Linked DNA regions of Drosophila melanogaster. The protein of the gene in region 1 interacts with the protein of each later gene in a pairwise test. Each region holds a gene or a part of one and is shown on either strand. Other genes may lie near its edges.

What was found. The genes of interacting proteins can lie anywhere in the genome.
Region 2: the proteins of Srrm1 (region 1) and CG31211 interact in a two-hybrid assay, tested with the Drosophila melanogaster proteins (one large-scale study listed by BioGRID).

Annotation. Positions count from the first base shown.
Region 1 is NT_037436.4:13,034,879-13,038,633, reverse strand, and holds the start of Srrm1 (Serine-arginine repetitive matrix 1), read right to left. Parts: upstream 1,814-3,755; 5' UTR 1,382-1,813; coding exon 1,370-1,381; intron 1,211-1,369; coding exon 1-1,210. Other genes in the region: CG17672 (uncharacterized protein), read right to left, coding at 2,533-2,716, 2,866-3,049, 3,182-3,339, 3,415-3,602.
Region 2 is NT_033777.3:11,947,632-11,951,386, reverse strand, and holds the start of CG31211 (uncharacterized protein), read right to left. Parts: upstream 1,708-3,755; 5' UTR 1,583-1,707; coding exon 1,033-1,582; intron 961-1,032; coding exon 603-960; intron 530-602; coding exon 376-529; intron 138-375; coding exon 1-137.

The DNA of each region.
Region 1 (3,755 bases):
TAGGCGAGCGTGATAGCCGCCTGGATCTCGACCTGCGACGCGAATTGGATCGCTGAAAGCGATTGCCGCCGTTGCCACCGCCATTATCCTGTCGCATCGGACTGCGTCCTCGCGGGGAGAAGCGTCTGCCACCTCGACGACCACCTCCGCCACCGCCAAACTGCCTGCCTCGATCGTTACCGCGCTCCATTGAACTAGCCGAGTCCCCGCGATTGTTGCGATATTGCCGCTTGTTTTGCACACTGTTCTTGTTGCGTCGGTGCTCAAACTGATCCTGGTTGCGCTCCGGCGACAAAGATATGCTGCTGGAGCGTCCTCGTCGGCGACTGCGTCGCGAGGAACTGCGGGAACGTGACCGCTTGGCGCTGGGCGATCGAGATCGACTGCGCGGCGATCGCGACCGGGAATGCGAACGGGAGCGCGACTTGTTCTTGGAGGCCGGCGGTACCGGCGAGGACTTGTCCGTCGAGTGGCGGCCGTTGACAGTCTTGGCGGGTGCGGGCTCCACCGAGCCTGTCTTTTTGCCGGCGGTTCGCGAGCGTGAACGTGAACGAGAACGTGGTCGTCGGCTGGATCTCCGCTCCCTGGAGCCGGGACGCGCGGCGGAGGAGGAGCCGCGTTTACGGATTTTGGCAGCCGCATTGGCGGCCGCTTCTCGTGCGGCACTGGGCACCGAACCGTTGTTGTTGGCCGGCTTCATTGAGCGGGATCTGGAGCGGGACTTGGATTTGGAGCGGTCACGCTGCCGATCTCGCCTAGAACTGTCTCGTTGGGAGCGGGAACGCGAACGGGATCTCGATCGATCCCGCTGCCGCTGTTCCTCCTCCCGTTTGAGTATCTCGTCCTTTTTCTGCTGTATAAACTCCGCTGGTATACCCGAATCGCTTTCCTGTGCCGAAAGCAGCAGGGCCCAAAGTTCACCCATAAACTGGCGGGCATTTCGGCCGTTCAAGAAGCCCGTCATATTGATCTGCATTTTCTTGGGGCACGGATACTTCTCCTCCTCCAGCTGATTGTAGACAAACTCGACGACCACGTCGTCCTCGATGTGCAGGATGTCGGTGATCTTCTTGCTGATCCACGGACGCAGTACGTCCAGCTTGACTTTCGACATATCCACCCTCTTGTTCAGGCAATCGCCGAACTTCATTTGCTTCATCAGCTTCTTCTCCTTGTCGCTGAACCGCGTGTCCTGCTGCTGATTGGTGCCCTATTTGATTTTGCGGGGGGGCGGGGTGAAAAATAAACATATTTGCAGGATATTCCATTTAAAAAAAAGGGGGAATAAATTATCACAAACGAATGGGCAATGTATTGAAAAACCATTTATCGATTAGTTTGCGGGGGGGTGTCGACGCTTTTGGCTTACCGTGAACATCATCTTGGCTGCGTATTTGTGATTAGAGTCCTGCGGGAATTTCGGTGCACTGCCGCCAATTTGTGGCCCAACTTTAGGCCAGGCACATTTGTTTTCTAGCGCAGCGAGGGCGAGTCAAAAATCCAATAAAAATATGTAACCCGGCACCACGCAAGTCGATTGTCGTCTACAGGAGCACACACACACTCGCGCAGCGTCTTTTCGCCGTATGTGTGATGGCCGGGGAGATGCGATGCCTTTGGCCCGAAACAATCGCTATCTTAACACCCTGCTCGCGCGTTTATCACTCTAATGCGTTCTGTCGTCGTTGCGAACAGCTTTAATGGCAGTTTTCTGGCTATTTTTCAGCACTTTACTATCGCAAAATAAAAAATTATATTCGTGAAAACGGTCTGCGCCAGTGATGGCAGCAGCGGCCCAAAACACGAGTAATCGGACCAGCGCAGGACTATCGGCAAATGTTATCGGCGAGCATCTGGCAGCGCTGCGCACAGGGTGTTAACTGTCTTTTTTAATTCAAATGCGACCGTTACATTTTAAATCTTTTCAAACTTAAAACGAATTTTAAAATGATCTGTTTAGATTGGTTTCTATTTTTACTATAAAAGAGCTACATTTTCTAGATCATTTAAGGCACATGTCGGTATGTGCGTAGCCATAGCAATTACATTCTATTTATAGTTTCATTATTATATTTCCATCCTTTTGAACAATTTTATATTCCATCCCTTTGGAATTAAACGACTGCAGTCACATTTCGAAACGAATGTTTTTATTTAGCATTTTCGAATGCCGTAATTAGGGGTTCTAATAAATACACACTACAAACGCACAGAGGCATTTAATCAATTTTGTTTAAATTTAGACTTAACATTAGGATTCGATTATTTTTCGAGCAAAATTTCAATTCAATTTTATAAAGCTGAGTGGGATTTAAAGGAGAATGAGAGATGGGGGGAAAACATTAAATAACATTGCAAAATTGATTTCGCTACAAAAAATAATTCCTTTTAATTAAGCCAGCCAGCCAGCCAGCCAGTTCAGCCCAGCTCGGCTTGGCTCCGATCTGCTCCGACCCAAAACTCGCTCAGTTCTTTTGGTTGCTGTTGGTGTTCCTGGTGGTTACCGCCTTCGCCTTCCTTCGTTTCCTCCTTCTACGGTATCATGTTCGGCTCCTGGGCGGCGCCCGTCGAGTACTTGGGCTTGCACACGCATCCGCTCTCCACCAGCACGTAATCCTGGCCAGTCAGCGTCACCGGGCCGAGCGGAATGACCAGGAACAGGTAGGGCACATAGGTTTGCGTACACTCGCCGCGGACCACATCGCACTCAGAGGATCTGAAATTGACCATAGTAGTGAGCTTTAAAAAGAAGAACTAGTGGAGATTGTGGAGTAATGTAAGTTAAGGGTAAATTTCTTATTTGAATTCAATTTGTTTGGTATACCAATAAGATTTATATTAATCGGGTGCCAAAATATTACTCACTCGCACACTTCGAAGACCACCTGCTGCAGGAGATCGGGGAACTTCTGGACGATGGTCACCGGCTGGCCGGAGGTGAGGCTCACTCCGTACATGGGCGCCGTGGTATTGTAGCGCGTCTTGCAGAGGCGCGCCGGCGTCTCGCTCTTGCACTGCTGCGCCGGCGTGGCGTTCTTCAGCGAACGACCTGTTGAGTTGCGATGCGATGAGATTGATTAATCAATCAAGTAGTCAGTCAATCAATCCATCAATCAATCAATCAATCAGGCGGTGGTTCGATCGATTGGTTTGGTCAATCAGGTGGCGGTGACCGACTTACCATAGCGACTGCTTCCGACGGCCTCGTTGTTCACCTCGTCGTAGGCCCTCAGCAGAGCACTGGTGGTTATGGCTGGGTCCAGTGTGCTGGGCAATTTGCTCTGGCGGCCACGTCGCGAGTTTCCGTTCCAGTTGGAGAATGTGCGCGCCACGGCCGCGCTGCAGAGATCCCAATTGGATGGTCACAGGGGCGTTAGAAAAGAAAGTTACTACCATGCCAGATGACTGACTCACCTCGGATATGGCGCATTATTGGGACCCAGGCAGTCCAGCGAGTCCGTCAGCGCATCGCCCGATAGGTACTTCAGGCCACGCCCACCGCTGCAGCGGCTGGGGGGCGCATCATCGCTGCTGTAACTTGGCCACAATGCCGCGTTTGCGCAGGTGAGTGCGATGCTGAGGACGCAGAGAGCCGTTAGGTGCTGCAACAGATACGAAGCGGTACGGATATGGGTTATGAAACGGGCCAAAACAGATTATTCACACGGTCAATTTGTGGCTCTCTTGAGCAGTAAGTGCATCCTAGACTTTAGAGTATCTAGTATCTAGATAGTAACGAAACGTACCAAAAATTT
Region 2 (3,755 bases), on another chromosome or scaffold:
AGCTCCGACTCTGGCTCTTCGCTGCTGCTGCTGCTTCGATCGTCGTCCTTACTAATCAATTCATTACCTATTTGCTGCACCTTTAGTTCTCCACGCGCCTCCACAGGCACGTCAATGGAATCTTCGCTGTCGCTAGCCTGAATTTCAAGGGAATGTTTAATCGACAGCCTGCACTCAAGCCTGCAGTCTGCTCTACTGTCCGGATTGTTTTTAAGTTTTGTGTGCTTTCAACGACGAAACATCGTTTTCAGTTTGGTTCAGTCCCGTCTAAATTTTGTGCAACCAATTTGTGTGAGATGGTGTGTGCTACGCTTTCGGCACTTTTCTGTCCGTATTGAGAGTCAGTTAACCCTGCCGCCCATCGACCTTACTTACCACGTTCGCGATGTTCAAAAGATTACCAGGTGTGGTTAGTGTTTTGCTTGATACTTGCTTAACATGGTTGACCTCAACATCTGGCGTGGTCATGGAGGATTGCTGGCGCTCTAGTTGCCGCTGCTTTTCCCGCTCCATTTTCTCCAGGCCCTCTCTGAAAGATTAAGGAAATTATTACAAGTATCTATCTTTTGTGCATCTTATTGTGGTTCTTTGCACACTCATACCTTATCCAAGCTGGCAACATTTTCCGTTTGTTTGCATCGATCTCACTGCTAGCCCCGCTACTTCCGCTTTCCGCATGCGTCTGCTGTGTGTGCTGTGGCGGCAGGTGTGTATGTGGTGTTAGGTGGTGTGGATGTGCATGCGGCTGATGTGCTGGTGGATGGTGTGGATGCGTTGGTTGGGGAGCATGCTGCTGCTGCTGCTGCTGATGCGCTTGCAACTGCAACTGCAGCTGTTGGTGCGGCTCATTGGGATTGCTCACGTTCAGCTTCAGCAGAGATGGTATATGCGCCGTGGAATTGCCTGATTTGTCGGTCTGCATTTGCCACCCGGTCCATGGCTGCTTGCCCAGCGTGACAGCTGCAAGGAACGGAGAGGAGGGTTAGTTGCTGACCTGATTTATTGTGCTATCTTCTTGGATCTTCTACAAACCCGCTCCGTTGGAGGCGTCTGGGATCTGACCAGCCACTTCGGTGCCCGCCAGCCATTGGGATTGCGTAACCAAAGGTGCTGGCGGTGGGGGTGTCTCAGTGCTATGTCCCCGATCATTCTCATCGTCCATGTCCATATCCGCCTCGCCGTGCTCCTCTAGTTGCGGAAATCCCGCCCTGACCACACTGGGCACCGGCATTGCTAGCGTCTGCTGGTGGTATTCTCGCAAATTGCTGATGATGGGCGGCGGAGGGGCCAGGGGCATGGGCACCGGAGTAGCGTCCCGCATGTGGATCCATTGCTGGGCGAGCTGCGCCCAATCGATGCCAACGCCACCCTGCATGGCGAGCGGCAGGCCGGCGGCTACCATGGGCGTCACCATGCCCTGACCGCCCCCGGAGGGCAGTGAAAAATGTGTGGGGGGTGGTGGGGGCTGCGCCAGGAACTGATTGTGATTATGGTTGTGCCCATGGCCATGTTGTCCAAGTCCATGGACGTGGGCATGCTTGTTGTAGCCCAAATCGGCGTTTCCGTTTCCACCAGGAAACATCTCTGCTTGTAGTTCGAATATGCTCTTTAAATCCCAGCTGTATTCCTCAGTTATCGAGGTTTTCTTCACGAGTGAAACGAATTTTCGTCGCCTTCTACGCCATTTTCTTGCTCAGCCCGTTTTGTCATTCGCAGCGAAGCGGTAACAGCGGGTCGCTCATATGACGGTATTTTTTAATACACTTCAGCTATACTGTTATTTCAAAAACATATTTCTTTTGTTACTTTTTATGCAGTTCATTTGCCACCAAAAAGTAGTCTTTTGGATTGATTTATTTCTAAAAATGGTGTAATTCAAGAAATTCAGAGGGCCAAGTAATATACTTAATGACCGTTATTTAAAACACACTCAAGGAGATTTATTTAAACGGCTACAATGGTTTTCCAAATAACTTATTTACTGTTGACTTCTATAAAACATAGGTGTATATATTATTATTTTTTATTGATTTGAGATAATTTTAATTTCCACAATATTTTTTCTTGTGATTAACAGAGAAAGTCAAACTCATAACATTTATCGGGTAAAAGTCTCTATGAAGTAGAGGTTAACAGTGAAGTCGCAAAAGTGTGGCCGTACGCCAATCGAGCGAGTATCCCTAACCTGCAATATTTTTAGTTGGTTTTTTCAGCAATAGCCCCACTTTTCTCAAAGAGTGCAACAAGTGATTCTGTTTATGTTTTCAACAACTTCTCTCTGCGGAACTTAACGTGAGCGGACGTATGCGGACGCGTCGCTGCCGGAAAAATAAGTTGCGTCGGCGTTGCGGCGTTGTTGTTTACGTGTTATAATAAATTTGTGTGCGTGCGAGAAGGGCGCGCTCCTGTCTGTGTTGGTGTTATTGTCGGTCGTTCTCAGCGCGAGTTTCGAAATACCGCATTGTTTAATTACAGCCGCCGCGACTAATTTCAATACAAACAAAAGCTGGTGTGTGAATGAAATTATGCTAAAATAGATAATAGTTAAAGGTAAAAGAAATTAAAAGATGAAGAAGGAGAAGAGGAAGAGAAGTTCTGCAGCGCAGTTGCGTCGGCGCAGCAGCGTTTCTATCGGTGTGTGTCTGAGTCTGTCTGTAGTGGTTTGTCTGGTTTTTTTTCGGGCTGTGTGTGTTCGTGTTTGCCAAGCAACAATTTAATTGCTATTCAATTTTAAAAGCAGTTCAATTGCAAACCATTACAAATATGTAATTTGCTGTCGATTGCTTTTGCACTGGAGTGCGTAATTACATTTTTGAGCCACCAAACACCAAACAGTGCAACTGTTGCCGCTACACTGGGAGCAAAACAGGACGGATAGATGATCAACAGTTCGTTGATTTTACAAAGACAAACGTTTTATTAATATACTTAGCATGTGATTCGATTTAACTGAAAATATATACAAATATTTAGTGGTTGCAAGTTTCTTTGTCATGTTAAGGAAACAAAAGTTCAATTTACGTCTTTATCTATATCAATCTTTCAACCATCAAAATAAAATAAAAAAAAATGAAATATCAACTTAATCTCAGAAATTTGGTATCATACGCAGATCTTGATTTTCTGTGTGCTCTGTAATGGCGTAATCGTAATCTTTGTGCCCCCTTTTAATGATTTAATTAAAAGCGTAAATTGCAGGCCGAAATTCAATTTGTCCGTTTGACTTTTCAATTCGTGTGGGTGGTTCTCTGACATTGGATCGTTGTTGTTTGCTTTTATTTAATTTTTTTTTTTTTGAGTTTTTATTGTAGTTGTGCAACAACACGCACACACACGTAGTAAATAATTAAGTTCGTGCGTCGCGTGCCGTTTTGAATTTTCTTTTTCCTTTTGCTGTGGGGCCCGGAAAATGTTCTCTTCTCACTGCGCGTTTATTTGCATTTCCATCAATGCGAAATTCGACTCGTATAAAATACAATAAAAAATCGTTCGAAAAAAACCAGTTGACCGTGAGATAACTCGTGCATAATTGCTAAATAGCAACAAAAAAGAAATATAAATACATACATATGTGAATGATTGAATTGCTGAAATGTTTAGTGTTTGTGTTTTTTTCTCCTTCTCTTCTCCCCTCTGAATGTGTGCTTGTGTGTTTGCTTTTGCCCTTCGTCAATGAATAACGGCACTTTGCGAGGTGCGAAGTCGAAGAAGAGCAAACAACAACAAATTGCCATCACCTTTGTCAGCAGAGAGAA